2 linked regions of the Elephas maximus indicus genome follow. The protein of the gene in region 2 purifies or fractionates together with the protein of the main gene of each other region. This does not show direct contact. Links are inferred from orthologs where the notes say so. Each region holds a gene or a part of one and is shown on either strand. Other genes may lie near its edges. The genes, in order: GART and INPP5K.

Evidence for each region.
Region 1: the proteins of INPP5K (region 2) and GART purify together in Homo sapiens (co-immunoprecipitation; 3 studies listed by BioGRID and IntAct, counting the BioPlex papers as one, with this or other methods). This does not show direct contact. The link is inferred for Elephas maximus indicus from reciprocal best matches to the Homo sapiens genes INPP5K and GART.

What each region holds. Positions count from the first base shown.
Region 1 is NC_064836.1:28,046,956-28,063,060, forward strand, and holds the start of GART (trifunctional purine biosynthetic protein adenosine-3), read left to right. Parts: upstream 1-7,564; 5' UTR 7,565-7,673; intron 7,674-8,642; 5' UTR 8,643-8,681; coding exon 8,682-8,826; intron 8,827-11,547; coding exon 11,548-11,643; intron 11,644-12,208; coding exon 12,209-12,383; intron 12,384-13,850; coding exon 13,851-13,962; intron 13,963-15,030; coding exon 15,031-15,099; intron 15,100-16,105. Other genes in the region: protein SON, read right to left, coding at 1-875, 3,287-3,453, 6,592-6,668. UniProt on the Homo sapiens protein: Trifunctional enzyme that catalyzes three distinct reactions as part of the 'de novo' inosine monophosphate biosynthetic pathway.
Region 2 is NC_064837.1:20,170,410-20,186,451, reverse strand, and holds the start of INPP5K (inositol polyphosphate 5-phosphatase K), read right to left. Parts: upstream 7,558-16,042; 5' UTR 7,276-7,557; coding exon 7,223-7,275; intron 7,217-7,222; exon of another isoform or gene 6,019-7,216; intron 5,289-6,018; coding exon 5,181-5,288; intron 4,852-5,180; coding exon 4,743-4,851; intron 1,590-4,742; coding exon 1,473-1,589; intron 1,142-1,472; coding exon 966-1,141; intron 387-965; coding exon 275-386; intron 1-274. Other genes in the region: PITPNA (phosphatidylinositol transfer protein alpha isoform), read right to left, coding at 12,372-12,416. UniProt on the Homo sapiens protein: Inositol 5-phosphatase which acts on inositol 1,4,5-trisphosphate, inositol 1,3,4,5-tetrakisphosphate, phosphatidylinositol 4,5-bisphosphate and phosphatidylinositol 3,4,5-trisphosphate.

The sequences.
Region 1 (16,105 bases), on a different chromosome or scaffold from region 2:
CGGCAGCTCCAACGCCGTGGCCTTAGGCAGCTCCAGCAACTCCTGCGGTCTTGTGATGGATGAATCTGCACTCTCCAATGGTACTTCTACAGGCTGCTCTGTCAATCTTAGTACGTCAGGTACAGATGACTCTGGAAAGCCCGTTGTTGTCGATGTGCTTGGCTCAGGGTGCACCTCAGCAGATGTCTCTGAGGATTCCACGAGGGTTTCTGCTGACTCTAGCATTTTTGCTACTGGAGGCTCTACCAACACGATCTTTGATGGCTCTGGAGATGTGCTCTCCAAAGGTTTCAGCACAGGAGTCATCTGATACTCCATCGACATTGTTACAACCGGCTCAGGTGACTTCAGCACTAGTGCTGGGGTAGGCACTGGTGCTGCTGGAAAGCAATCCAGAATCTTTGCCGTGGATGGTTCCAGCATTACTGCCATAGAATGCTCTGACTGCTCTGAGATGACAGATGTAGACTCAACTTGCAATTCTGCAGTCTTTGTAGCTGGCTTCAGAGTTTCAAAGTTGTGTGGCTCTGATACCTCCATTGCAACTACAGGAGGTTCTAGCACAACTGCAGGGGAATCACCGGTCTCAGATAAGCCAAGTGCTCTTACAGGATGCTCCAGTCCCATCACTGAAGGCTCAGAATCAAACTTCAAAAAGGAATCTGATTCTATATCTATGTTCCCATCATGATGAGATTTTGGCTTTGACTCAGGTTCTTCTGGCTGTCTTTTATATTTTTTCTCCTTTTCTTTCTTCTTTTTCTTTTTTTTATTTTTGTGCTTTTTATGCTTCTTTGACTTTTTGCTAGGAATTTCATCAGTAGGATCTGTTTGTACAGATACACATCTACTTTTTCTGGAAGCCTCCTTCAAGTCTGAAATTAAGAGAAATTAAAATTGTCAGACATCCCCCAAAATAGATTTAGATAAATGACATAAACCAAGATTTACATTCCATGTTAAAACACCATTGTATGACACCTCGTTATACTCACAAGGCACGTATTTATATGTTTATACCCACATTTACCATATGTTCACACTCCTGTGTGCACTAATGAGATACAAAGTTGCCATATCAACTATTTTTTGTAAATCGACTAATTTGAGGACTAAAGCTGAGATTAAAAATATTAGTTTATTCCAAAAACTTATCTAGAAGTAAGACGTGTTTTACCAAATTCTACTAAAATTTTCTCCAGCTCACAAATTCCAGAAAATTACTTTTAAACGACTCTTTCATATTACTGTTAGAACTGCTCTACCAAGCCAACCAATCACTGCCATCAAGCCGATTTCAACTCACAGCAACCCCATAGGGTTTCCAAGGCTGTAAATTTTTACAGAAACAGACTGCCACATCTTTCTCCCACAGCGCCTCCGGTGGTTTCAAACCTCCAACCTTTCAGTTAGCAGTCAGTTGCTTTAACCACTAAGCCACCAATGCTCCTTAGAATTTCTATAGTAATAGCTAAATTAAATAATCTTTTGATGAAAAGTTTTACACAGCAAAACATACGCCAAATCAACAAATTCTACACATACAATTCCGTGGCACTGATTACATTCTTAAAGTTGTGTAATCATTCTCACTATCCTTTTTCCAAATTATTCCTCCACCATTAACATAAGCTCACTGCCCTCAAAGCTTCTCATCTAACCTTTTCAGTTGCTACTGTCAATCTGACCACACACAATACTTTAAAAGAGAACAATCAAACCATTTTTGCAATTACTTTATAACCCCTTCTTATATAGGAAGCAACATGGCACCGGCACTGGAACAGACTGCATGCTTTAGGTCCCGCATCTACCACTTATTAGACAAATAGTCTCAGCCAAATGACTCTCTGTGCCTCCCAGAGTTAGATGACTGAGTTAAAACAGAGGGACACTGAACAAAGCCTGGCACACAGTAAGCACTCAGCAAATGTAAGCTCTAAGCTGATATTACTATTGTCATACAGTATACAAATATCTGAATGAGAAATGTAATCAATACAATCCTCAAATTTTATCTTATCGCACCCATCTGTTACGTTCCAATTTAAAAAAAAAAAAAAAAACTTCCCCCCAATACTCTTCTGAAATTACTAACAATTTTTTTTCCTTTTTTTTTTTTTTTAAATAAAGTGGTTTTGGGGAGAAAATTCTTACAGCCTTTAACATCTAATTTAAGAGCATTTCAATTTGCATACGCTAAAGTATGTGGTTTATAATTCGTTTTATAAGCAGATGGGATTTAATCTAATGCCAATATCAAATTATATAAATCAGTGATCCCAGAAAAAGCTGATCAGAAATCCAGGCCATTAAGACTACAGAAAAAAATAAATCAATACATGAAAAGACACACGCCAAAGCAAAAGTAGTCATTTTCTACCAAATACTGTTTATTTTATGACACCAAATGTTAAGTTAGCTAGTATGTACTTCCAGAGAGCGACGATTCTAACCATGGCTAAAATCTATGCTTTTTAAACCATATTCCATGTCAAAAAGAAGACCAAGCACATCACAATTCCAAGACTAAATGAAGATACTGTTTTTGTCGTTGATCATAAATCCTTCACTTCATCAATTATTTATTTCTTACTAAAAAAAAAAAAAAATCCAAACAATGATTCCCTCCCCAATTCATTGCACTTTTAAGTAGGATGGATGCAAAAACAAAACAAGCTCTAACCAAACCAAACCAAACCCACTGCCATCGAGTCAATGCCAATTCATAGCGACCCTACAGAACAGACTAGAACTGCCCCATACTTTCCAAGGAGCGCCTGCCAGATTCGAACTGCTATCCTCTTGGTTAGCAGCCATAGCACTTAACCACTACACCACCAGGGTTTCCAAAACAAGCTCTAAGCTTGGGCTTTAAAGTAAAACTTTCCAGGGTAAATTTTAAAAGTCACTACTGGTTTGATCCAGGCTCCTGTACCTTTCAAAACAGGTATTTATACGAGTGTTTTATGAAAACCTACATTCAAAATCCTGGCACTGAGGTATTACAAGACTGAATTAAATAAAAGTCACATTCCACCAGCAAAGCCAATAAGTGCATCAATGCTCATGTTTCAGTACAACTGCATTTGCAAAGAAATATTTAAACAAGAAAGTCTGCGACGAATCAATTAAACAAAAACTTAAATGTACTGAAGTTTTATAGCTAGTAGACATTTTAAATACCTTGCAGTCAAAATATAATACTATTAACATTCAGATTTCAAAAAAAAAAAAAAAAACCTTGAAACAAAATTTTTGAGATAGCTTATTATCTCTAACTTACCTGGTTTATATCGTAGTTCTGTATCTAAAACCCCAGAAAGTACTTCCTCTATCTTTTGCACTATTTCTTCATTTGGTAGGCTCCTGGCAGAAGCAGCTGAATCACCTGCCTGGTTTCCTTCAATAGGTGTACTGGTTTCACCATTCAGCTGGCCTTCATTCCTCCCACTTGATAAGAGAAGTTACCAAAACTCATTAACATTTTTAATATACCATACAATAAAATCAACACTCATAGTTCAACTAATTAAAATAATTTTATAGCAAATTCTTCATAGAATTCACCCCTTTTATGGTTCGTTCAGGTGCTATTTCCAGTAACAGTGCTGCCTTAACACTATCTACTTACCTGGTACATTTTCATTTTTACACATTTACTTATTAAAGTTCTCAGAACTGCAAAAGTAAATTTACCTTTTTTTTTTTTAAATAAAATACTCCCAAAATTTTTAATTGAGGCTTTTGGGTTACACAGGTTATTTCCCTCAAGTACAAAAACTATTAAGAGCCAAATCACAAATTCAAAGAAAAATATATGACCTAGCGTTAGAGTAGAAACTATGGGTACAATCAAGCTATGCCTGTGCATAGATCACGATTACCTCAATAATATCCCAGAACACAAAAATTAGCCACAGACACATTAGGTAAAAAAGAATATAACATAACTTGTAGCCTCAGATCAGGTTTAGACTGCTAAAAGAATATCACAAAGCGTAAGAAGAAAAATACATGCAGGAAGTTTTAACCCAGTTATAAAAAAATCCCAGTACCAAAAAATTTTATGATATTTAAAAAAAACTCACAAAACAAGCAATAATTTATTATACCAAGAAAAAATGAGTGGGTAGTCTAACATATTTTCAATCTACAGGGCCAGAGAATATTGACAGATATAAGAACATATCATTTACAGTTGTTTTTTTTTACTACTATCGTATAAATTAACAAAAATGTTTTCGAAAAACCATATAATTTCAACAGCTCAATTCTACCTAACTGAAAACAACAATTATGCTCAATACCTGATAAAGGTCTCAATGGTCAAAAAATGAAAATACTCACTAGATAAATCTTAATAGGAAATATTCAGTTTTCTAATACAACGAATCATGTAAAAACTAACACTTAACTACTAATTAGGTGTCACTCTTCTACATTTTTAACTAATTTAATCCTAACAAACCTCTATAATCATGCCATTACTCTCATTTGGGGAGGAAAATGAGGCACAGAGAGAACAAGAAACTTGGCTGGATGTCACACAGCTACTTAGAAATGAAGCTGGTATTCATAAGCAGAGCATCCTCTTAACCACCAACTACATACAATACTTATGTTACTTATCTTAAATATCTAAAGGTCAGCCTCATTACCCACACTGATGTACCTAAGAGCAGACGGAGAAAAAACCTTAATGAAATGGCAAATAATCCAAAATATTTTTAAATTGATAACACATTACATGTTGCTTATGGTGAAGCTACGTATCTTGTATTTCGACAGTAATAAATTGCTTTCTCTAATACTCTTTTTAGACTTTGAGTGCTTCTTTTTACTTTTCCCAAACACTTATTATGTAACTCTCCCTTCTAAAGGACCCCAGATTGAAAAATCAGAAAAGTACACTAAAAAAAGTTCAATCTATGAGGAAATTATCATGATTGAACCTTATCTCTCAATTTTTATGACTGCTACCAGGATGCAAACTGAAATTACTAAAAAACAATGAAAATATCAAACAACCTAGCTATCCAACGATACATTCCCACAATGGAATTCTACACAGCCATGAACAATGTTGCCAAAGATTACCGAGATTGTGGTATGACAAACTTGTTTATATATTAAGTGAAAACCAAAACAAAGAAAAACAATCCCATTGCACATAACATATATATAATTACAGATCTGTATCTGCACAGGAAAATAAAGGGGCATAACACCAATAATTACACGGGTAGTTTTCATTTTCTTTCTTTTAAATATTCTACAATAATATTTATTTTCTAATAAAAAACTGATTTTTGTTACTTACAAAAGCAAAACTTACACACTAAGCAAACACACGACTTTCTGCATGCCACTATTAAAAAGCTTTCAGGGAAATTACATTCCCTTTGCTCAAGTTTTCTTTCATTATCCTAAAAACATTAGCATATAATTTTTTTAAAAAACCATATAATGAGCAGATACATTTCCCATCTAAAAAACAATACATCTGCAAAAATAACACTTTGGACAATTTTAGCAATATTACTCCATTGCCCCAATAATCTCATGTTAATTCGGACACTTAATTTACAATCACGCTTTTATTTTCAAGTTTACTCACTGCTCATACGCTCTACTTTTAACACACAACTAGCAAAAACATTCGAACTCAAATATCTGACTTAAGCTTTCTTTCCTATCTCTACACTTGAAAATAGTATTTTACACAAAGCAAAAATATTAAGACAACCACTGAACAACAACACGACCCACAGTACTTTCCTCTCTGAGTAAACAACTGTTTCTTTGGAAGTCACTTCCCTTTCTATTTGCGTGGAATCAAGCCTAAACTCCAGAACATGTATCAGCGACAGTAAAAGTAGCGGGTTGGTCAAATATGTCAATTGGGGCACGAGTGGCAAGAAAAAGCAAACTACACACATAAGCCCACTTTCCACTTGTTAAAATTAAAAAATGACTCATACCCCAAAGAGCCCTACCATCCTCACCTCAAATATTTTTACAAAATACCTAACTAATTTCAGCTACTTTCATTTCAGTCTCATCAGAATGTCGACGGACGGAAATCATAAGACGCTGGGGCCCGAATAATCCAATTAACGAATGCTCATTCCCAAACCGTCTGAAGATTACAAAAACAAAGCGGGCTGAAGATCACCCAAGAAATGGCCGTTGGAGACCCTCTCCGGTCAGCGGCACCGGCCGGCCAGCTCGGCCGAGAGGGGGAGGGGAGCGGCGGAGGCGGAGCCGAGGGGCCTAGGCCCGGCCGCCGCGGACAAGCCGGCCTGCGAGGCGTTCAGGCCTAGGGGGTGGCCGGCCGGGAGAGAAGCGCCAGCATCGTAACTCGGCCCGAATGAGGGAGCCCGGGTCACCGCGGAAAGGGCCAAGTTCCTCGCAGGGAAGCAGAGCGCGGAGGGGGGAGGGGAAGCCGGAAAATGGATCCCAGGCCCAGGCGGGGCTGTAGCGGGGCCCGAGCCGAGGAACGACGGCTTCTCTGAAGAAAAGCCCCAGGAAAAGCTACAATGGGCCCTAACGGACCCTTGGGACGAGAACAGTCTGGGAATCGTTTACCTGGAAAGTTCCTGTTGAATTTCCCGGAATTTGCTGACCACGAAAGACCTAAAAATCTGCTCGATGTTGGTCGCCATGGCGTCCGCTCCGTTCTCTCAGCTCCTCCTCGCTAGTCCTCCAGGCTCCCAGCATGCCTCGGGAGGCGGCGCTGCGGCCAGTTCCGTCTCTCCGCTTCTTGATTGGCTCCTGTAAGAGCGATGGCACAGGCACGCTTTGCCGTCGAGCCAATCAGTGAGCACGGTTCCACTTTCCTCCGCTGTTCCTGAGCGGCTGGGGTAGAGCTGCTGACGTTTGCGCCGCGCACGGCTCAGTCCGCCATGTTAGTGTCTGACGCAGGCGCCATTACAGGAGAAACCTCTCCCGAGGCGACTGTGTCCGCTTATCAGTCCCCAACATTGTTTTGGGGGGGGGCGGGGCCGGAGAAAGGGGTTAATAGGTTTATTTAGCGACTAAATGCCCGAGATTAAATGCTATGAAAAAGGGGGAAATGTTTTGACATGGGGCCTACAGGCGTCCCCGTGTGGCGCCAAGTTCTGTTCGGTCAGGGAGACGCATCCAGGAAAGCACGGGCCAGCCCGCGCCCCTATTGTGAGAATGCGGAGAACACGCTTTCACCCCGCCTGTCCCATTGCAGCCTATCATCGACCTCAATCTTAGCCAGAGGCCGGAGGTCCTGAGCGACCGGTTCTCAAAGCCGGGCGCGTCACGAGACTTTGCGCTTTGGCTGCTCAGTGCGGACCCTCGCTAGCAGCGCCCCCTCCTCAGAGCTGGGAGGCTCTCGGGCTGCAGCGGCGACGTTACGTGGCGCCGGTGTTAGTGTCACATTCGGAACGTGCGCCGCTTGACAGCTTTGCTCAAGAGCAGGCTCTGGCCGCGCCCGGGGGCGGGAACCACACTGGATTACCTCGCCGCGGGGACCGAGCGCAGAGCAGGCCAATGAGGCGGCGGCGCCCGCCCGGGGCGGGGAGGAGCGCGGGCGGCGGGAGGGTGCGCGTCGGATCCGGCCCGGCTGACTTCCGCCGCGGCGGTCCGGCTCGGAGCGCGCCGACGTGAGTTCGAGTCGGAGCGCGGCCGCCAGCTCGGTGCGTGAGCAAGCCGCGGCCTTGAGAGAAAGCACGTTTGTGCTTGGTGTGGCTGCTCGGTGTCGGGTGTGGCCGTCGGGATTTTCGTCTTTGTTTCCCAATGTGGGGGGTGGAGGTTGGCCACGTGCTCTTCCCTTGCTCTTACCTGGGGCTTACGTTGGCTTTATCACCTTTCCTGCTTTCTGTGGTGTCAGGGCTTTAACTTTCTTGTCTATTTATGTTTTCTTAGGCCCAAGACTTAAGCTGTTGTGCCCGTTTTATGGTGTTTTGTTTCTATGCACCCATTGTCTGCAGCAGATTAATTAGGTCCGCTTTTGTAATTGGTTTCTGTTTTTATTATTCAGCAAAGGGTTGGAAATAGTTTTACCCGGCTTTCTTGTTCTGGTTATAAGTTGCTCGTTTTAAATATAAGGCGACTGAGGCCCGAGGAGGGTAGTTAAGTTACTCAGGGGCTCCCAGCTAATGAAAGGCAGAGTCTCAACCAAAACCCAGGCCTCCGAACCACCCTGATGTAGATCGTTTCGGGCTAAGTGATGCTGTTTCGTAATTAACTGTTAAAAAGTAAAAATTGTTGCTGTCGAGTCGATTCCAACTCACAGCGACCCTATAGGACAGAGTGGAACTGTCCCATAGGGTTTGCAAGGAGTGGCTGGTGGATTTGAACTGCCGACCTTTCTGTTAGCAGCCGAGCTCTTGACCGCTCCACCAGGGCTCCTGATCTATTCCTTCACTGCACCTGTTATTCCAGGAAAATGCAGTCCTTTATCTGGATTTAAGGATAAGTTTATCTCAGATATTTCAGTCCATGCATTTTCCTTGAAAATACCTCTTATGCCCTCCTAGTGCAGTCGTTTCTCTGTTTATGAATCTCAATTTTTTATTCAAAAATGAATCCCAGGGTTCATTTGCAAATCGTGGTTTCTAAAAGATGTGCACTCTAAAATATCAACCGTGGTTTTCTTTATGCAGCGTGTGTTTTTCTTCAGAGTTCCTGCTTCACAGACAACCATGGCAGCCCGAGTGCTTGTCCTTGGCAATGGAGGAAGGGAACATACTCTGGCCTGGAAACTTGCCCAGTCTCATCATGTCAAACAAGTGTTGGTCGCCCCAGGAAATGCAGGCACTGCCTGCTCCGAAAAGATTTCAAATGCTGGTAATCGTGTTTTAAAGTGGGAAATAGTAGTTATGGTTTGTGATACGCTGTCAGCCACCTCTGGCCATAGATTGCTATTCAGATGTTTTTGTTTTGTCAGCCTTAAAAGTTACGTGGTAATTTGAATATCTGCATGTGTAGTAAGCCTAAGGTATTCTATTCTTCATGATGTGACATTTTCTTCTCTTAGGTTACCTTAAACCCATATTTTATAAAACACGTTCATCGAAAAAGTAACAAGTACTTAATAGTAGATTAGAAGCATTTCGATGTCTATTTTTGGAAATGAAAAGTTGAGCAGTTCTCTGAAAATGTAAATCCTGGTAATTCTAATTCCATAATAGATCTCAACCCTTATCCCTTCCACTGATAAAAATGATCAGTTCACACACTACGTTAAACTCTTTGGCAGCTTCCCATGGCAACTAGAATAAAGCTCAAACCCTTTATTGTGTCTTACAAAGCCTTTTGTGATCTGGCTTCCTTCTGCCTTTCCAGCCTTTTCTTTTATGTCCCTTTTTTCTCTTTTCACTGTGCTTCATCCATGCTCTCCTGCCAGTTTCCCAAACAGAGCTCTCTTGGACTCAGCATTTGTTCCCGTCATTCGGGCCTCAAATGTTACCTCAGAGAGACCTTTCCTGAAGTTTCTAACTACAGCAAGTTTCCACCCCGTCTCATTTGTTTTCTGTCATGAGCCACTGTTTATTTTTACTCTTTCCTTCTGTATTGTCTGTCTTTTCTCCACCCACCCCCAACCCACCCACTAGAATGTAAGCTGCGTAAGGACAAGGAACTTTTCTATCTGATTTTGCATCCTGTCCACACTGCCTAAGTACTCTATGTGGCACGTACTAAGAAAAAAACAACGAAGAAAATGCATGCTTCCCTGGGGTTTTAGCTCTTGGGGTGAGGTGCAGTGCTGAATCTGTTTACTGGAGAACTGGTACACTTTATTAAAACATGATACCCATCAGAGCCTCCTAAGATTGTCATAAGGCTGCTAGCACTGGCAGCTGCCGAGGTTAGATGTGTACTCTCGCTTTTACTGAGCACATGCTGATGTAGTTGGCTCTACTCAGCACAATTATACATGGAGCTCTTAACCCAGGGTACACGGTACTCCATCCCTACCTGAGTCAAGCAGTTCCTGTGGGTTGAGAACTCATGACTTTTTCTGGATATGTACCTTAGGCATCGCAGATACTACCTCTTGCCCCATCCCATATAGGTATGTGCGGAGTCACTGAGGCTTCAGCCAACTGAAGAATGGTAGTTTAGTTAGAGTGAGGCAGAGAGCGTCTGTGGGACCCAGGCCTGGTACGTGGCCAGTGCTACTGCTAGTTACTTAGAGCTGCATCAGAAAAGAAAATTTACCTGGTCTCTAGGTTGAAGAGGCGAACTGGGTCTTAACTAAAATCGTCCATCAGTTCTTAGCCTAAATGTCTCTGCCTCAGAGAGAACCATCATTATAACTGAAAACAGCCTCCCAATTCATCTCATATCACATTTGTGCAATCTGTTTATACCCAGTAGTTTCTCGTTTAGATGTTAGTTACCTGGCTTTGCCACAGTGGAACGTAAACATCGTAAGTGTAGATGCCCTGTTTATGTTAATATCTTAGCCCCAGTGTTTACGATACTATCTAGCACGTGTTTGTTAGCTGCCCAGAGAGTCAGCCCCTGACTCATGGCAGTCCGTGCACAACAGAACAAAATGGTGCCTGGTCCTGCACCATCCCCATGATTGGTCACAGATCAAACCACTGTGATGCATAGTTTTCGTTGGCTGATTTTCAGAAGTAGATCGCCAGACCCTTCTTCCTAGTTCGTCTGAGTCTGGAAGACTAAACACGTAGCACATGTCCTGTGCCATCGAGTTGATTACAAGTCATAACAACTCTATAGAATGGAGTAGAACTGCCACATAGGGTTTCCTAGGCTGTAACCTTTACAGGGGAGCCCTGGTGGCGCAGTGGAGCTTGGCAGCTAACCAGAAGGTTGGCAGTTCTGAATCTACCAGCTGCTCCTTGGAAATCCTATGGGGCAGTTCTGCTCTGTCCTGTAGGGTCACTGTGAGTCAGAATCGACTTGAAAGCAATGGGTGTGGTTTTTGTTAACCCTTACCGGAGCAGGTCGCCAGGTCTTTTCTCCCACGGAGCAGCTGGGGGGTTCCAACGGCCAACCTTTCAGTTAGCATCCAAGCACTTAATTATTGCACTGCCAGAGTTCCTACCTAGCACATAGTGGGTTCTTGATAAATCTTAACTGAATGACATTAAAAGACCAGTTCCAAGTATGCTCTGTGATAATACTTTGTTTGCTGTGTAGTCAACACTGGTGATGTGAACACCACAATCAAGAGAGATAAATCTTAACTGAATGACATTAAAAGACCAGTTCCAAGTATGTTCTGTGATAATACTTTGTTTGCTATGTAGTCGACACTGGTGATGTGAACACCGCGATCAAGAGAGCACTTTACAGCTCTTTTGTAGGTTAGCTGGTATTTTCTTCTAGCTGGCTACAGTGATGGCAGAAAACTGAGCTTCGTTGGTTAGCCCGATGCTCTCTGTTCTGAATTTCTCACAGTGAGACTCTATAACAACAAGACCCTCAGGTAACAAGCATACCAAAAGACAGTACTTGGTTTTTAGCCTTACACTTAATTAAACAAAAAGTGCTTGTGAATGACGTGGGCTGTTTTGTTTGTTTCCCTGACAGCCATCTCCGTCAGCGATCACACCGCCCTTGCTCAGTTCTGCAAAGATGAGAAAATAGAATTCGTGGTTGTTGGACCAGAGGCGCCTCTGGCTGCTGGTAAAGTTTGTGTCTGTTTGTTGTTGCAGCATGTACAGTGTCTACGGGAGGTTTAAGATCTTCTACTCTGGCTCACGTTCGCAGATGAGGACGTCTAATACAGTGTCACGTTGGGAAAGAAATTTCACTCTTCTGAAATTTACGCATCCTAGATCTTTTCTCAGACAGTAACGAGATGAGTGCAAGGTCAGATTTGTAACCCTAGGGAACGTTTTGTGTGTGCCAGTGGTCTCCTGACTCTTAGCCAACTTTGGGTACTGTCACACATATATAAGGTAGATAAAAGTGGGCTGGGTTCAGTCCTCGGTCTCATTTCATTCTGCTCTATTCTGGCATCCATATAATAAGTTCTGTAATTGTATATAACGACGTTTGCTGAACTTGAGTCACGTGTTAGTAACGTTATCATTTATATTTATTAGACGACTTGAAAAACATAGCTGTTCATCTGCTTTGTCCAGATGAGCCTGGAAATGGAAACTTGGTTTAAATCCTACTTTGTCTTCAGTGTGAAAAGCCCCTGGAGAGGACTTGGTTCACTTAAGGCTCCTCGTTTCCTCAACAGGAGTTGTTGGTAACCTGACATCTGCAGGTGTGCGATGCTTTGGCCCCACAGCAGAAGCGGCTCAGTTAGAGTCCAGCAAAAGATTTGCCAAAGAGTTTATGGATCAACATGGAATCCCAACTGCAAAATGGAGAGCTTTCACCAAACCTGAAGAAGCCTGCAGCTTTATCATGAGGTAGATCGCGGGCTGCCTAGGAAGGGCAGTTGTTTTGTTGTGAGATTTAAATGCATGGATCACTTTTATGTTCAAAATGTAATGGTACGTGCTTATGCTGAGTCAGAAATTTAGAGTATGGTTATGAAAAAAAAGAAGTTCACAGTAAATATTGGGTAGGTCACCTTTTACTGATATCAGAATAAAATGGGATCCTACACCTATATTAAACTCTGGCGGCATAGTGGTTAGGAGCTACGGCTGCTGAACAAAAAGGTTGGGAGTTCAAATCCAGCAGGTGCTCCTTGGAAGCTCTGGTGGAGTTCTCTGTCCTATAGGGTCACTATGAGACGGAATCAACTTGGCAGCAATGGGTTTGGGTGTTTTTTGGTTCACGTGTATTTATACGATCTCGTGACCTTGCAGAAAGATGATTTTCCGATTAGGAGCCCTGGTGGCACAGTGATTAAGAGCTATGGCCAAAAGGTCAGCAGTTCGAATCCACCGGCCGCTCCTTGGAAACCCAATGGGGCAGTTCTCTGTCCTATAGTACCTCTGTGAGTCGGAATTCACGCTACAGTAATGAGTAATTAGTGAGTCTTTCCTAGAGACGAAGTCCCTCCCGCCCTGCAGTACTGTGCTCTTTTCACAGCCAGATTGACAAACAGCAGTGTTTTCAACATAAAGGGCATTGATTTTTTTGTCATAAATAATTAACCAGGGTGACGAATTATCGTTTGGTCTGTTGCCATCACTCCAGCTCTAAATCTTAAAGGCAAACATCCTTTGTTCTCTAATGTGGAAAACATTGAGCAATTAGTGAATGTTGGCAGACACATTCTTTTGCCCCCCCCCTTTTTTTTCTGACACGTCTTCCTGAGACTTGGTGTGTTTTTCTTTCATTTGAATCAATTTCATTCCTTATGATGATTCTATAGGGTTTCTCAGACACTGAATATGATTATTTAGTAGTAGCCAGATGCCCTGGTTACGTCTTTCCAGATCCCCAGCCCCACTCAACAGAAGAAGCTACCAGCAGCAGCTTTATATGTGGACTTCCAGAAATGATCTGTGTCTACATCCTTGTATTGGTCTTAATATAACCACGTTTTCTAAGTGAATAAGCATAGGGTTTGCTACTTTGTAATTTAAAGACCTTTCCATATTTCCTCTATTAAAAAAAAAAAAAAAACCTACTGCTGTCCAGTCGATTTTCATCCACTCTATACATCTGTTTTATTCTTACGAAGATTGTTTTCATAACAGAAAAAGCTTAGGTGATGTCATGATAAGTGAAAAAAAGCAAAATTGAATGTAGTGTTACAGTCACAACTGTAAAGGAACGTGTAGGAAAAAATCCCGCTGGGAAGGACATCAGAATCACGATACGCCACAGTGGTCGCAGTAACATCATTGTAAAACCCAAGGGACTTAAAACCTGAAACAGTGAGGATTTGTTGGACGTTGAAGTTTAATCTGTCTTCACAGTGCAGACTTCCCTGCATTGGTTGTGAAGGCCAGTGGTCTCGCTGCTGGGAAAGGGGTGATCGTTGCAAAGAGCAAAGAAGAGGCCTGCAAAGCCGTCCAAGACATCATGCAGGTAGCTTGATTTTTCTGGAAAAGTTCAGTTTTCTATTCACGCCGGATGTACTGTTTTTAGTTGTAAATATATATGTAACAAAACACTTGCCATTTTAACATCTTACTTGTACGATTCAGTGACGTTCATTACGTTCATCGTGTTTTCCAATCATCACCGCCATCCGTTTCTACATTTTCCCATCACCCTTCAAAGAAGCCCGGTGTCCCCTGAGCAGTTGAGTTCCTTTTTCCCCTTCCTCCTTGCTGTCCGTGACCACTTTTATACTTTGGTTTCTATACACTTGCCCATTCTAGACAATTCGTATAAGTGAGATTATACAGTGTTTGTCCTTCTGGATAAATAAATGTCTCTCAAGATGGGGGGAAACACATCTTGCAAACACACAGGTCATGTATTTTTCGCAGTAGAGTGTGTATTACAATCCATCTCTGTAAAAGGGTATTGTAGATCTACACTGGTGGCTAAATCTGACTCAATTCTTTTGAAATAAGTTCTAGCATCCTTTGTTGTCTGCTACTCAAAAGACAGAAAATCCTCAAACTACAGAGTATATAATTCTCAAATCAGCTGTGAGGACAAAAGTACATGTCCTGTGTATCCCAAGCCTAAGAGGAACAGAGCAACGAAGTAATACACTTGGCTTTTCTTTTGTGCTCCATCTTGGCTGTTGTGGGTTTTTCTTCCGTCATACAAATCTGCCTTCAGAGGTGTATTTTGGTATGATTATTGTAGACAGACATACCTAATTGGGAGTAAGGATTATATGACGATAATGAAAATATCTGTTTTCCTGTTAAAATATTTGAAACTTGAAAGCCAAACCTCAGGAAAGCGTTAGTAATGTGATCACTTCATCTGTGCCAGTGCCAGTTCTGCATTGTTGCCACACTGAAAATCAGCATTCGTTTATTCCACTGAGGCTTTCAGAAAGGACAGGTCAGGCAGCTACCAGCATACTGGGTCGTAATACAAATGGTGGAAAATGCAGAAGTCAACTAGGTGAAGGCTAAAAGCTTAGAAATTTACTGACTTTTTGTTGTCGTTGTTGTTAAAACCTACAATTAGGACAAAGCTTTTGGAGCAGCTGGAGAAACAGTTGTCATTGAAGAGCTTCTCGAAGGAGAAGAGGTGTCTGTACGTATACTTCTCGCTGTTGGCTTTTATACCGTCCTAGGTGGTTGGTTTAGTCATCTAGTGCTGCCATGACAGAAATACCACAAGTGGATGGCTTTAGCAAAGAGAAATTTATTTTCTCACAGTCAAGTAGGTTACGAGTCCAAATTCAGGGCGTCAGCTCCAGGGGAAGGCTTTCTCTCTCAGTCAGCTCTGGATGAAGGTCCTTGTCCTCAGTCTTCCCCTGGTCGAGGAGCTTCTCAGGTGCAGGGACCCTGTATCCAAAGGATGCACTCTGCTCCTGGTGCTGCTTTTGCTGCTTTCTGGGTGGTATGAGATCCCCAACTCTCTGCTTGCTTCCCTTTTATCTCTTGAGAGATAAAGGGTGGTACAGACCACACCCAGGGAAACTCCCTTTACCTTGGATCAGGGAGGTGACCTGAGTAAGGGTGGTGTTACAATCCCACCCTGATCCTCTCAACATAAAATTATAATCACAGACTAGAGGACAACCGCAGAATACTGGGAATCATGGCCTAACCAAGTTGATACATATTTGGGGGGGGTGCATAATTCAATCCATGTCATATACCTTGTAAGAAGCTGTTTTATCTGATTTAGGAGCCCCCAAAAGACTTGATTTACCCTGGTTGCTTCATCTGAAACCGAAGCCCCCCTTCCCCTCCCCCCCAGCTACAAAGGAATTTATATGTGTTCCATACCTGGAATGCAAACACACAGAGAACTTTTATCATCTCTTTTAATTGTCCCTCCTGTACTGGTGGGGGAGCACAATAACATTTCACACACTGATATTCTAGATTCATCCAAACATTAGTGGTTTTTGTTTCACAAAGCTCTCTATATGATAAATAGTGGAATAAAGCCACCTTAAATAAGATTCTAGTGCCAGCAAGCTTAATGGTGGAATATTTTATTTTGAGAGTAGCTTCGTTTTTCCCTAACCTAGCTCAGAAATTGCAGATCCTTCAGAAGTCGAATATACAACATCTTCTGGTTTTTGATG
Region 2 (16,042 bases):
GCAGGGCCATGACAGGCCAAAGGCCTTCTCACTCCCTATTCTAAACACACCCAGCAGCTGTACCCTAGCTCCTGCAGGTGAAGGCCAGGTACTGACAGTACTGGCTGTCCTACCTCCAGGTGCAAAGCCTGGTAGACTCTTCCCTGCCCAGGAATGGGGACTTCTGAGGCTGGGAAAGGCAAACAAACCCTGGGGAATCTGAGCCACTCTCCCCACCCGTCCTGTCAGATCACGGGCTCAGACCACCCCCCGGGACCCTCCCCTCACTCCATACCTGGTCCTTCTCCCACAGTTCACCGTAGCACCGGTTTTTTATGGATTCTCGAACAAAGTGCAACCCAAAGTCCTCGATTCGAAAGTTCATGTCTCCGAACCAGAGAATGAGGCTTCAGAAAGAAAGGAGGGCAGCCTGAGGGTTTGTGATGAATTCAGAAAAGGGAGGAGTAACAGGCTGCTCAGACCTGCTCAACCCAGGGGCTGCTGGAGAGTGGAAAGCTCCAGGGGGCAGGTGAGAAGCCAGATGTTAGAAGAGCATCAGGTGGAGACAGGGCAGGGGCCCAAATGGACTGTTCTCATGGTTCCTGTACCACCATTCAAGCCGAAGAGACCAGCCAGAGGGGCAAGTGGCAAATATGGAGCAAACTGCAGCTCTCCCTTAATTGGCCACCAGGGAAGGCTCAGAAACAGCCCTTCAGGTGACCTCAGGAGCCACAAGAATCTTGACCTGGGATGTTCAGAAGCGTTCATGGTTTCTAGCCAGGGCAGATGGACTAGAGGAAGGGGAAAGGGATCCCAGAGCCCAGTCAGGCAAAGCTGGGTCAGAGGGGAAGACGTGGCATCAGGAAGGGGCTGGGAGACAGAGCACAAGCTGACTCTGGCTGGGGAGCGGTGACTGGGGAGAGGATGCTAAACTGGGTTGGCGTAGGGGAGAGGGCAGAGGTGGAAATCGGCAGCTCTGCGCTCACTCGTGGTCCAGGATGTTGGGGATATCATGTTCTTCAAAATTCTGCATCTCTAGGATCCGGTCAAAGTGCTCTAGCCGCTGGTCATTGTTGGCCAGGTGTGGGGGCAGGTGGCAGTTGATGATGCTGACATAATAGCCGTAAAGCTTCAGGCAGATGTTGATGCCCCCTTTGTTCCCCTGGTAGGACAGGTGGGCAGAAGAGTGGGAAGCTGCTCTGGGTTGGACACACCTTTCTTTCCCCATCCTAGACCCGAGGGGAGGTAATCTCACCTCCCCTAGGCCCTCCAAGGGCCAGACACTCAGCTTTGCAGGGTAATCTCTCATTCAGAGCTCAGCTCACCCAGACTAAGGTCTCAGGAATGAGCTTGCAGGGCAATGGCCTGGAGACAGTGCAAAGGTTCATTTCCCCCTTTTTTCTATTTGCCTGGCTCTAATGCATCCAGCCCTTCCCAGCCCAGGCACAGGAGGCCTTCCCGGCTTGTGACTCAGACAACAGCTCAGTCCTTACCCAGTATCCAAAGAGGCCAGTGGGGGTGGATTTGGTAGAGAGAATCTGGATAAAGGGCAAATGCTGATGCTTGGCAAAGACCAGTAAGAGGAGCCCCTGCATGCGGACACAGGAGACCTGCAGAAGAGCGGGAGCAATGGTCGTTCACTGAACTGACAGGCTGAGTGCCTCCCTGCCAGGCCCTGCACTGCAGGTGCCACAGAGCCCTGAGACACACACAGTGCCCTGGCCCAGGGTCGATGCTATCCCAGTTTCAGCCTCCGTGTTTCACTCCTTTCCTCTCCTCATCTGCCAGATCACGCATTCTGGGAACTGAGCAGGTTTCAGTTTCACCTCCTGGGCGTGGGGAGGAGGGGAGAGTGGGCCAGGACACCCTGCCAACAGCAGGGCATTACTCTTCATTCCTCGCCCAAGCACGTCTACTGCGCGCCTCTCACCACTGCCCTTCTGAGATCCTCCAGGTACTCTGGGCTGCCACTTGAGCTGGCAGGGCCTCAAGGAGAAATGTGGCTATTCAGGAGCGTGCTAAGGAGGCTTTGAAGTTAGCACGATCCGGGTTCAAATCCCGGCTCTGACTTAGTATTTGATACTGAACGTATTTCTCAGTCTATTTTCTCACTGATGAGCAGAGATAGTACTACTGCATAGATCTTAAAGGGGATTAACTGGTAGCTGTTATTTTTTGGTTCAAGGACTCTTCAAAGTAAACACAGGGAAGGAACATGAAAGAAACTTCTAGGTGCTGGAAATATTCTGTATCTTGATTTGGCTGGTGGTAATGTGGGTGTGTACGTATGTAAAAATCCATCAAACTGTACACTTAATATCTGCACACTTTCCTGTACACATTATACTTAAAAAAAAAAAAACAAAAAACAACTTTAAGTAAATGCTCCCCTCACAAATAACGATAGGCTGTGGGCTGGTGGATATTCATGATGGTAACGCAGAGTGGGTGACAGTGAGTACAGAGGATGTGTGTTTGCAGGTTGGTGAGAATAGCTAATATCTACTGAAACGTTTTATACGCATTATTTCATTTAACTTCCCAGGCCAAGCCTGTAGGAATCATTGTAATGTTTCACAGATGAGGGAACTGAGGCTCAAGGAGGTTAAGGAACTAGCAGGATGACCTGGCAAGCGGCATCAGAGGAGGAGGACAGCCCAAATTCCCACCGTCTGAGGCCATGGGGGTGGGCTGGGGAAAGGCCATAGCCAGTGACCCTCCTTCTTAGGCTCAGGCTGTCTACACCCACCACCCGAGTAGCTGTTTCCGGAGCACGAGGTATAGAGGCCAAGGAGGAAATCCCCGGGTGGGAAGCGTGTACTGGGGCCTTCCAGGAATTATGCAACATGATCCCACAGGCCAGGGAGTCCTGGCACAGTGGAGCAGTCAAAGCAGGGGGAACCCCAAACCCAAGACTGAGTGGGGGGGTGGCAGAACCTGTGGTTGGGTGAGGTTACTAAAAAATTTATCCTAAGCCCCTCCTCCTGCCTTCTCTCCCTCCCATTCACAGGCTTCTAAGACAAGGGAAGTGGAAGAAGGGGTGGAATATGAGGAACCGGCTCCCAGGGTCAGGATCAGAGGTAGGGAACTGATCGAGACTCAGGAAGAGTTTTGAGCTTAATCCTCACCCATAGAGCAGGTGTGGGCTACTCAACTCCACCGAAAAGGGACCAGTCCACTCTGTTAAGGAACAGGGATGGAGGATGGAGGATGGGGTTGCGGCTGGGCAAGATCAGACTGGGAGAAAGGGCGGGGCTAGCGGAAAGGCAAGGCAACTTCTAGCGGAAGTCCCAGTAAAAGGAAATGAAGGAGGAAGAGCTAGGGAAGGGATTGGACGGAGGTGGCTGGGAGTCCAGGAGCAGGCAAAGGGGTCAGCCTCTAGCTTCTCAACCTACGTTCGGTAAATCCCCACTCAAAGAACAGGCTGCAAACAGGGCTCTCCTTTCCACCCTGATTCTTGGCTGGAGGAAGGAGAGGCATTCGCTCTGGGTCCCAGGACCTGAGGCTGGCCCTCTAAACTCAGGAGGCTGCAAGGATGGAATGGGTTGTATCCCTGCCACAGCTGAGCTAATTTCCTTGGCTCAGTTCCATTCTGTCGGTCCCCTCCCAGTCAGCCAAAGCACAAGGCCTGCAGCCCTGGGAGGGGAGTAGGTGGTGAGAGAGAAGGAGTTTTGCCCTCCCCAGAAGATCTAGCTCCAAATCCACAGGAAGAGGTCTCTGAGTTTGATTTGGAGAAAACCAAGTGCTCAGGGGCTGGTAGTTTCTAGGACCAAGGCTTGTCTTCCCTCCTTCCTCTTTGTACTCAGGCCAACTAGTGTAATGGAATCATCCTGTGTGGGCCAGAAGAAGCCCACCTAGGGAAGGGAACAGGGAACTGTGGTGTTTCCAAGAAGCACCCTAGTAGCTGCATTAAATGGGAGCGTGTTTCATTGCTCTGGTGTGCAGGGCAGAAACAAAGAGCTGCCAGCCTATAGCCTTCGTGTGGATTCATTTGCCTATGATCCAAATATTTCCAAAGTATACTTGTCCCTCAGCCTGAGAACCTTTTCCTCCACACCTATCTCCCTTTCCCTAACCTTGGGGCCCTGAGAAATCGAGGTATATGTCCCCTATGACGGGAGGACACCCTCTGCCACCAGCAGGCTAGCCATGGGATACCTGCCAGCCTTAAAGCTCAGGAGTATAGCTATAAAGCACAGTGGTTAAGAACACAGGTTACGAAGTTTGAAAGAGAGATTCAAATTCCAGATAGCTTGTGTGGCCTTGGGCATGTGATCTCTGAACCTTGGTTTTATCTGTAAAATATCCCTATTTCAAGACGGTTGTTAAGATTTTTACATAAAGTATATAAAGTGCTTACTTACAATGCTTAACACAAAGTAAGTTTGATAAATGGTAACAATTATTATCACACTCAGAGATTTCAGGCTAGGTGTGAGCAGAGACTGGAGGCTAGGGGTAGGGCAGGTATTACGGTGTTCACACGCTTTGCTGCACTTCCCCTAGGAATTCTCCGAACCTGAAAAATATCAAGGTATTAGACTAGCCCCTTGGGCCTCACTCAGTTCCAGCTGCTCTGGAAAGCCACGAGGCAGGCAGGAGCCTTGTGGAGCCAAATGCAACCAAGATTTAAATCTCTAAATAAATGTGAAGCAGCATGAAAACCTGAGCGGGAATAAGAGGAACACATCAGACCAAATGACTGGGGGTTAGTGACAAGTGGTGGGGCACATTTCCCTATCACCAATGAACTTGTAAGTTACCTTGACGAAGTTCAGAGGGGAAAGCACATCCATGAAGAAACTGCTCCATGGGTCTTCAAAGGCAGTATCATAAAGAAGGCTCCTGATCCCACAGTTCGTTTCCTGCAAACTGACCACCCCAGGTCAGAGGCTCTACCCCTGGCCTGGAGGGTACTGCTTCTGCCACACTTAGCCCTACCCTCACTAGACTTTTAAGTCCTGGGTTCTGATGACCATGGTCTCTTCCTCCCCTGGCTGTGGGTCTCCATCCCCTTGTCATTGCTGACCCAGGACAAGAGACATGGACCTGACCCGATGCAGGCTGAAAGCTTCTAGCCTTCAGACTCCAGAGTGTGGGAGGACAGGTTACAGCGGTTCCCCACAGGGACAACTTGTGAATGGTTGGGCTCACCTGACCTCAGATCTAGGGGTGGGTGAAGGGGCCCTGCAGACACCTACCCAATAATATATATGTCCAGATTCAGGTTCTGGTTGTTCAGCTGAAGAAGGTCATTGAGGTCTAGTGGGGGTGCTGCAGAGGCCACGTTCCACGTCACAACGTGTATGCTGTGGAGGGGATGCAAAGGGAAGTCATGGAAGAAGGAGGATAAGACCTTGTCCAGGAAATGGGAAGGGGTGCAGGCCTGTTAATGCTGCACCACAATCCAGTGCACTTATAAAGAAGAAGGTGAGATTCTGTATCGAGCAGTGGGAATAGGGGCAATGAACAAGCTTTTGTTGTTTTTTACCTCTGTCTCTTGAGGCAAGAAACCCTCACTCTGAATAACTCCTCCACACAGGCCTACAGCTGCTCACACCTGGGAGCACTGGGGCTGCTGGCACTAGTAGAGCTATCAAAGGGGGCCCAAGGTTTCTGGGTCAGGCATGGGAAGAGGTGGGATTTGCAGGAAGAGATGGAATTTGTTGATTCCATCAGCTCTACGAGCCATTCAAACCTCAGCAATCATGGCTCAGGCAGCAACTGCCCACCCTCACTTTCTCAACCTAAGGATTTCTGAAACCACCAGGAAGATCCTGGAGGCTCTATTTTCACCTGTGAGAGGCCTCGACACTACAAAGACAGAAAAATTTAAAAAAGCACAGCAACAACATACATATATTCCCTTCCTCACTGCTTCCTAGCAGATACTTGGAGCACAACCAATTCTGCCAAGTACTGCATGGGGCCTAAGGAAAAACCAAGTAACAGGTTTCTCAACATCTCTCTAAAGAGTCTACCCTCCTTTGGGAAAAGTCATCATCTGGGTAACATTCTCCACCTCAACTTCATACGAACCCTTGGGAAGCAACAGCACTAAGTCAGCAACTCTCAATGACACTGGATCGCATCAGAGGCTCAGGAGAAGGCAGAATTGGTGATCTCTTTAACCGAATTGTCACAGCAACACACCAAGGAAGCCCCAGGCTGTGCTGAGTACAGAGCAGACAGGGGCTGCAAATCCTGCAGAGACCGAGAATAGCCATCAAGCCCCATGAGTTCTAGAGTGTCCACACCATGAGGAGAACCTGCAGCAACTGAAGACCTAGAATGGGACTGGGTACTGGGGGGTGGAGAGGTGGGAGAAAAGGGCAGGATATCACAAAACACCTCTTTTCCGCAAAACCCTGTTCTTGAAGGTCCATGTTCTAAAAAGCAAAACTTGAAAAAACCGTTAGCCTTCTTAAAGCAACTTCCTGCCCCTCCCTATGAACACAAAAAGCAAAACACAAACTACCTCCCCAGGCACTCTGCCCGGCGTAAGTGCTTCATTTGTTTACCATCTCCCCCTGCTGTCCAGCAGAAGATTAAGAAGGGTTGCCCTTTAACTCAAAGGCTCCTTGTATTCTCAGGATTCTGCTTCTAAGTGGAAACAAGAGCACAGCTTGGGATTTCCTGCCCCAGTTCTCAGGTCCGACGATTCAGCAGCAAATCCTTGCATTGTGACCTGCACCAAGTGAGTGATTAGCGTTGTTCCCCGGTGAGAAGAGGCACGGGACTAGGCTGCATTACTTTACTAAAGGATTTTATCTAAATCTGCACATTTCAGGAGGTCACAAGCAGATTAGACAGACCCCATGATGTATGCGCTGATCGAAAGTTAGGGCACGATTTCTGCTCTAGGGCTGAAAGGAGATGCCTTGTTATGTCTTTAAGTTCAAACAGCCCAAGACGGCTGCCTCCTCCAAAGGCCACCTGGGACACCTGCTTGGGGCGCCCCAGTGAGAATGAACTCGGAAGCCTGAGTTTAGAGTGGGCACGGGACTCGTGTCCAACACAGCCCTCTCAACAATGGCCTGGGAGGGTTTGGGAGAGAGACAGTTATCAGAGAAACAGTTGGACGGAAAGCCGCCCATGGGTCAGGCAGCCTCTGAACCAGAAGCAACCAGTAGGACCGTCCCCTTCCCTCTCGGCCTGGGTCCGCCCCCAGATCCACTGCCCCGACAGGGTCTGGGGGAGCGACCCCGCCCAGAGCAGGCACGCCTACAGCAGTCTGCCTCACCTGAGCTTCCTGCCTCTCGGCTCGGTCGGTTTCAGCAGGTCCACGGCCGCCATCGTCCATAGGCAGTGGCGCGGCAGGCTCCCGTTTCCCCAATCCTACCCCGTCCTGGCGCGACCAGCCTCTCCGGCGTCAGACCCCGGAAAACTCACTCCGGCTCGAGTGTTTTTCTTCCGGATTCAGAACCTCCGCCTCGGCTTCCGTAAGAGGCGGGTCTTGAGCGCACCGAGGGCTCTGGGTGGTGCGGCTCCGTGAAGGAGGCGGGACTCTCCGACCAGCGCGAAACGGTGAAAGGCTGCGGGGTGAGGGCCTTAGGGGATCATGGGACGTAAGAGGCATGTCCATCTGTCATCAGAGCAAGACGCAACACTGCCCCACCCGGCATACCGGTGTGTGGTAGACGCCGCCGCCCGGAACACATCTCTCGGCGGTCCGCAGCGCCCGGAACGCCGTGCGCCAGGCCGGCCGGCATCGTCTTCCGGCGGAAGCCGCCGCCGCGCCCGCACGAGAATCCTCGAGCCGCTGCTGCCCACGTTGGCTTTTCCGAGGCTGGTGGTCCCTTTCGCTAAAGATGAAATCTGAGGTCGCTGACCTCTGTGCTGTCTTTCCTCCCGTTTCCCAACGCCCAGAGACCTAAATGATGAGGGCGGCGAGGTAGTCTAGCCACTGTCTTACCTGCAGCCCAGTATCTTCCCCATCAACTACAGGCAGTTTCCCCAGTTATCACGTTGATCAAGCTCCTCCATTCTTAGTTCTCATGCTCTACTCCCACTTTCAAGTGTTTTACGCTTTTGAAACTCATTGGGTTACTTCTTGCACGTGGGACATTTTGGGGCTCCTGGACTCTTAGAAAATTAACCATCAATGAATGAAAAACAAGTCACCACCTCTAAGACCAGACATATAAAATTAAGACTATTTTGCCAAAGATCTACTATAATTTCCGTCAAATCACTTGGTTCTTTTCCTTTTTTGGGGGGGGTGGAGGGGGAGGCAGGGGATTCCTTTGAGGATCTCATGAGAGACACGACTCTCCCCAGAAAAACAAACAATTTTACAAGCAACCCTCAGGAGGTTCATAGACCCCGAAGCCAGGTTAAGAACTCCTACTTTAAATGCTTTGCCTGGTAGAGAGGGAGATGTGAAGAGGAGGGGAGACAAAGGCATTCTACCAGTACAGAACAGCTAAGTTACACTCAGATATGCAATGTTTGCATATGTAAATTGATAAGGCAATGTTTTAACTTACAGAAATCCACCTGCACAAATTTTCAGACACATCTTGTAACCTTCCCTAATCCTTCTCTGGTAAAATAGGGGTCATGAGCAAGAGTTTGAGGATATCTAAGTTGTAAAATGTGCATAAGGACATCATCAATAAGCTGGACTCCAGAGAGCTCTGTCTAGAATTTTATTAGACTGCTTTTTTTCCCCAATATACCTGTATTGGAAGATTGAGACAAAAAGGCACAAACTCACATTAAATAAACAAGGTAATCTAATCAATTCTACAAAGTATATTTTGTAAAAGAAGTAGCACTAGGAACCAACCAAAACAAGTCGGAGGGCGGGGGGAAGGTCCCAGCAGGGACTGTAAGAGACGAACTCGGGAAGGTATACATGTGCCCACAATACTGACCCTGTCTCCGACCTCTCTCTGTGAGAAGGCCAGAGCCCAGTAGCCCTTCTACAGAGGCACTGCTGCTTCCAGACAGGACTATGTCCCTGGAAATCTAATGGAACCAGCTGGTCTGAAGGGGTGTGGCACATCCTCGGGTAGTACCCCTGGAGCTGAGCCCTTCATCCTAAGCCCCTCTGAGTGCTAGTTGGTTTGGGAGATGGGTGAAGAGGGAAGGGGGTATGTAAAAGAGGTTGACCACTGTTACCCAGCAGCAACACCACCCATGAGGATGAAGTGGACCAGGGACCTGCCTTTTCCGTATTTATGTGAGTAGGAACCCAAGATCCAAGCTGACCTCAGGAAATTCTAGCTCAGCTCATGTAGATGCTTTTATTCCAGATTAAACTGGGGCAACAGGTGAAGGTGAGAAGAGCCAGAGAAAAGGCAGCTAAAGAAAAAGCCCCCACTAAAGCTGAAGTGATATGTGTGGCTCTCAGCTGAAGGAAGAAGACATCTGCTGATCCTCAAATTACAAAAACAACTGTCTGCTTAGAATATCGTTTTGTTTCTCTTAGGATAACCCACATCTAGACTTCACCTAGTTAATGACTGAAAAAGGGAAGCCTTTATGCACAAATAAAAGCAAGAGCTAAAACAGCTTGTAGGAAAACATTTACATTTTTCTCCAGTAGGAATGCCTCTTCTCCAACTTCCCCAGTCGAATAAATGCTACTAGCAGTTGGGACGCTAATAACCAACTGGAATGCTCCAGATCCATTACTACAGACTCCACAAGGTGAAGAGACTAATCAAGAGGAAGGTGTCTGTAATAGGACATCTCCTGGTCCCCAAGGGGCCTCAATGAAGGTCAGAGCTAGCCACACTAAGGGGTCTGAGTGTCCACCCTTGCCCCAGAAGGGCCACAGGGAAGCATCCATCAGGGTGTCACAGGTGCAATCCTGTGAGATACTCCCTTATTGCACTTAGAAATGAGTAAGGCAAAGCAAACTGACAAAAAACATAAGGATAAATTATCCCTCCCCCCCCCAACTCCTCACTCCCTTCATGGAGACTCTATCTCTTTTATTAGCAGTTGCATCCAGGCTAGTGTGGGCCTGGATGATGGCACACTCAGGCCAGCAGACTTCACCAGATTTGGGAGAGAAATGTCAGGTGACACCATAGCTGTCTCAGATTCTCCCACCACGTAGGCATACTCCAATTCTGCCAAATCACAGGGAACTGTGAGCCCCTTAGCAGGTTCCATTCACCTGGAGCCTGGACTTCCTCACTAGCCTACTGTGCTAGAGTTCTGTACTACAACCACTACTTGCATTTGATTATCTAGGACAGAACTCAGCATAGGGGCAAGACAAGCTGAGTCCCTGATCCCCAATTTCCTTTCCAGCAACCCTGGAGACTAGTGGGAACATGATTTGCTGGGAAGGAAGCTTTTTGCATGCTCATTTTGTGCAGCATGAAAAGATCAGGACTCAAGCCCTAATCAGCCTCAAAGACAGAGGACAGGGATCTGAGAAAGCACAGAGAAAAGAGGATTATTGCTGAGTGGCAGCACCAGCCCAAAAGGGAAGAGGAGCACTGACATACAGAGCTCCTCAGGGAGTCAGAATGATGAGTATATACGGGGCAGACTCAATTCTAAAGGCCAAACAGGGCAAGGCTCTCTAGGTGGAGAGTTGGCTGGGGCATATGACAGGCTCTGCACAGAGATTCAGACAGAGTGGGCAACAAGAGGGTTGAGAAGCCATAGGTATTTCTAAGAAATAGTGGCCAGAGGTGCAATGCCTGGCACTGGGGTTATTTGTATTTGTTAAATTTTCTTAAAGAGACTGGCTGGGCCTTGGGTGCCTCCTTGGTGCCTAGAGCACTCTAACAATGGATTACCGGGAATAGATATCCGAGTTATGACGCCACTCTGTTATTCTGTGGAACTGGGGGGGAAAACGCTGTATTTCTAACTCATCCCCTCTCCCCAGGTGAGCACTCAAAATTGCAAAGATCTGCCCAGGAAGCAAAATACCTCAGTTTACCCCAAGGTTGAAAACAGACTTAAATCATTTAAATCACCACATCACAAAAGGCAGCTATTTTGAAAGACTTAAAAATGTCACTTGGAAATAAAATTGGGGGGGGGGGTGGACACACAGAGAAATGGGTCAGAACACGATGAAGAGAGAGGGAGGAGCTGTAAATACAGCAGCATACATGCCACATCTCTCAGAGGAGCAGGCTCCCGCACACACGGCCTTCATAATACCAGATGGTCTATTTGTTCACAACAGTAAGGGGCATCTAGGGTTAGCTACAGTAAGGGATCGAAAGTTGCCTGAAGAATGGGCACAGAAAGGCGCGTCCGAAGGTGGCCTGTCACTCGGGAGGGTAGAGCTGCTGGGCCTTCCTGTTGACCACTGTCTTGCAAAACTAGAAGAAAAATACAATTATTAAGGAAGCAACAGGGGGAAATAGAAACACACTGTAAATCACCTTTAATGGGAGAATTTCAAAAGGAAGAAAGATGCCAGTCAGTGGAGGGCTGAGGGTGGAAAGGGAGGGCACTAAAGCCCAAACAGTGGCTGAGAAACCGGCACTGCAACAATCTCCTTAATCCTACCCTCCTGGCTCCCAGCGGCTGCTTCAAGGGGCAGGGAGAGGAGAGGAGAGCAGAGGTGTGAAGCACTGCTGGTGAGGCCCCAAAGCTCCTGAGTGCTGGAGGCTAGCCAGTTCTGATTTGATAAAATAACTTTCTCTCAGAGCTTGATGGGGAGCAGGGCCAGGTTTTTCATTCTATGGCCAAGACCACACTGTGCTGCTGGCAACTGCAAGTCTGGAGGTGTGTAGGGCACTGGGGAACCAGCAGTGAGGAGTCAATGGAAGGATGTGTAACAAGGTAGAACAAGGGATACCCCATCCTGGTCCTGTGGCCTGGGCAGAAAGACTCTCCTGGCATTGAAAAGATGCCACCTCTCATGAGGATGGCTGTTTAGTATGGGATCAGGGGTATAAAGGAGGAGGAAATGAAGCACCAGACACAACAATGGGTGCTAGGAAAAGCTGTCTGGCCAGCAGGTTTCCCAAGGGCAGGGCGGGGAATGCCAGCATTTGGGAACTAGGAACCCGCTCTGGCACAGGGAGTATAGGGAGTGCCAGCTTCAACTTAAAATGGCTCAGATTTTGAGAGGAGAAGAGTAATTACTATAAATAAACTTGGATTCCATGTGCATGCCTCCCCACCTCCCCTTCTCACCACCCTATGTCCATCTAGGCAGTTCTTTGTAAAACAACATGTCCCTGAAATATCCTAACATCCATAAGCTCTCAATGGGCCCTGAAGCCTGAGAGCTGTTTAGCATGGCAGTCATCATCATTACTAGAGGGAAGGATGAGGAATGAAGCAGGTTTCTGGCTCCACGCTGAGTTGCTGAGGCCTTGAGGGCCCAAACAGATTTTAGGTTTCATGACGTTGTACAGTGAGAAATTCGGTACATACAGTGCAGAAGGGGGAGGGTGGCTCTAGTCATCCGCTGTCATTCCTTTCACTGGGTCCTTCTGTCTCATCTGGAACAGAAGAAGCAGAGAAAACTGAAGGCTCTTGCTGCTACAACTACAAACACATCCCACCTTCCCTCGATCCTGCCAACAGATATGGTAAAGCATTTTTTTGTGCACGAAGCAAGAAACTGGAAGGACCGGATTCAGAACACATCCGCCACAGCAAAGGCCGCACCGTTTATAATCTGCCTCCCTCTCCAGCTTCCCAGGGTTGAGGTTAGGTCTTAAGCCCCCCTTTTTCTTTAACACATATTTATGAAGCATCTCTTCTGTGCAGGAACTGTTCCCGAGCTGGGGATTCAGCAGTGAACCAAAACAGACAAAGCCTCTTCCCAGGGAGCTTACTTTCTGGGGCAGGGTGAAGGGAGAACAAACATACATGTCAGGTGGGGCGAAGGGCTGCTGGGGATGAGAATGGCCGTGGGCAAGTGCTATTTTGTAAGCTGGCTATGGAAGTCTTCTCTGGTTAGTGACAGTTGAGGAGAAACCTGAGGAAGCAAAGCCAATGACTCTCGGGGGAAGGAGTGATCCAGGCAGAGGGACCAGCAAGTCCCCCTCCCAAGCTCTGCCTAGGGGCCTCGTCCAGTTAATCTGCCAGAAGTATCAGGTGGCCACAATGGGGAATCAGAGTGCGTCACAAGGACTTGACAATGGAAAGGGCAGGGGCTAGATCGCAGCTTCACAGAAGTGCTAGGCTGCTGGAAAACAGGGTGGGCTCCTCTGAGTGGGCACTGGCACCTCCCTAGCAGAAGTGGGCACAAGTTCTTGGGGTGCTGGGGAGGTTGATTTCTCTAAAATCCTTTCCAACTTCAAAAAATTATGGTTCTATTTGCAGACTGTCTATGAATTTGTGTGTTTTAACTTCCCATTAGAGGTTTCTTCAATACCCAATAGCTTCCTGCTCTACTTTCACTCTTGATGCATTCAGCAAACTGAACACATGGGAACGTGACCTGTAGAAGCAAAGTGCCTGGGTGGTATTCTGGCTCCATCACTAATCATGTGACCTTGGGCAAGTTCCTCTGCTGCTCTCTAAGCCTCAGTTTCTACAACTATAAAATAGGAGTAATAATCGCACAGACATCATGCGGTCGCAGTGAAGAATAATCAAGATACGCAGGCAGCGTACTTAGAGTGCCTGGCATGGCGTATACACTCAATATATGCTATTTATTATTCTGTTGTTATTGCTTTGTTCCAGACACTCCAAAGGGATGTGCACACAAGCTCTGAAGAAGCTGGAATTTTAAGTGGCAGCCCTCTTCAGAGTGCTAGTCCCTGAAACTTTAACACTGCCACATTTTGCAAAGATTTTGTCTTAGTATCAGTGGTTCTCTACTGGAAAAAGTTTTAAAAATTTTGCTGCCTGCCACATCTCAAACCCATGACTAGACTGAAAGGGCTGACTCAATAGGGGGAGAACAAGTGGGAGAAGGGAGTAAGATGTATGTAAACCTACATGTGACAGACTGATTGCAACGGTAAATGTTCACTTGAAGCTTAATAAAAATTAATTAAAAAAAAAAAAAAACCCATGACTATCGGCCCTCCACCCCTGCTATTATCATCAGTCACTCCATGCAGAAACAGGGCATGTGCGTGGTCAATGTTCTCTGCCTGCCACAGAGGTTCCAATATTCACCACCCGACTTGATAACCTCGATAACTTGGCAACCCCAGTGGAGTAGTGGTTAAGAGCTATGGCTGCTAACCAAAAGGTCGGCAGTTTCAATCTACCAGGTGCTCCTTGGAAACCCTATAAAGAAGCAGTTCTACTCTAACCTATAGGGTGACTATGATTCGGAATTCATGAGACGGGTTTGGTTTGTTTTTTGGGTTCTTGATAACTATGAAGGAGTCCTGGTGGCACAATGTTTAAGCACTTGGCTGCTAACCGAAAAGCTGGCGGTTCAGACCCACCAGCCGCTCAGCAGGAGAAAAGATGTAGCAGTCTGCTACCGTAGAGATTACAGCCTTGTAAACCCTTTGGGGCAGCTCTGCTGTACCCTATAGAGTCCTTATGAGTCAGAATCGACTTGATGGCAAAGGGTTTTTTTTTTTTTTTACAACTATTACCCTAATTACATTAAATGCTTTCGCTTGATCTTTTAGGCCAGGGTGTCCTCAAATTTGATCAAAATAATTGCCTGGGATACGTGTAGGTTCTTGGGCCCTAGACCTGCAGAATCTACAGGAGACAGGGCACTGGTGAGCCATAAAATTAATCAGTCTTATAAGCCTCACTTGTCATGGTCCCCAGCAAAGGTCCTCTGCTCCAAAGTGGAAAGTCTGTTTTCCTAGGTCCAGATCTTTGAACAGACCCTTAGCTCCACCTGGAATGTCTGCCTCCTGTAGATTCCCCTCAAATCTCCTTCCCTGTATGGCATCTATAAATTATTACTGCACCTGTAACTTAAATCATTCCATGCCTATAGATACATTATTTTATGAAGTTTAAACAATTGTTTCACAAATTCAACAATTTCCTACATGAAAGAAATCTGTTAAGGACAAGGGCATTGGCTCATTTCTAAAAGACAAAGACTTCACCCTGTGGTGTTAGACTGGAACTGGAGGCATTTGTGTGAACACAATATATACATAAGATCGATATAAATACAGACATCAGGATTCCCTAGCACTATCCACTGAGAGGAACCAGGGTCAGCAACACCCCAACAGTAATGAGCATACCTAGCACCCAGATCTTGGTGGTTTCCAAACACCACCCACCTTCCACTAAAAAGAATGAGGGCTGCTTGGAGAAACGGGCATTTCTAGGGCTAGGTTATGGAAAGACTGAGATGAGCCTGGAAAACCTTGTTGTGCTTCAAGTGAACCAAGTTAAGATCAGTGGTAACTAAACAGATAGGGTATAATGAAAAGAACACCAAATCTGTGATATTCTGCCTTCAAATACACAAACTGGGTGGAATCAGGAGGAAATATCAGACAAACTCAAACTAAGATGACATTATACAAGCTTATAACCTTCAAGAATATCAAAGAAAAATGGAGGAACTGCAGTGTGTGGTCCTGGGTTGGAGCCTTTGCTACAAAGGAATGAGGTCTCTGGGCCAAGGGGTACACAGTTTTTTGCACCACTGTTGCCAATTTTCTGTAAGTTTGAACCTTTTTCAAAAATAAAATTTCTACAAAGGCAAAACTTTGCTCACTGAATGTCTGCTCAATAATAACAAAAGAATGACCATTTATATAAATTTTCAATAATCAGGGAGGCTCAGAATTCAATGTTATGAGAGCAAAGCTCCTTGGATCTCAAGCAGATCCTTGTGTATCTTGAGAGTTCAATGCCTTGCTTTAATTTACTAATGCAAATTTAGGTCCTGTTTTCCTACTGGTTGCAACGAGATGCAACTTTCTATCAGAGAACTGCTGTCAAAGACAAGGTCCCCCAGAGGGTGCCACTGAAATAAAAATTCATTGTTTCATTCTTGTAATGAAATGCTCTAAGAATGTTTATTTTCTGGTGCCTATATGACATGAGAGATTTATCTAATGTTTGTAGTGTTCCCCACATCCAGCCACTGCAGGCACACACAAAGTATATGAAAATAGAAACTCCAGTTTCTGATTTTCTTTTAAAAAGTGGATCCTTATTTACAGTGGTT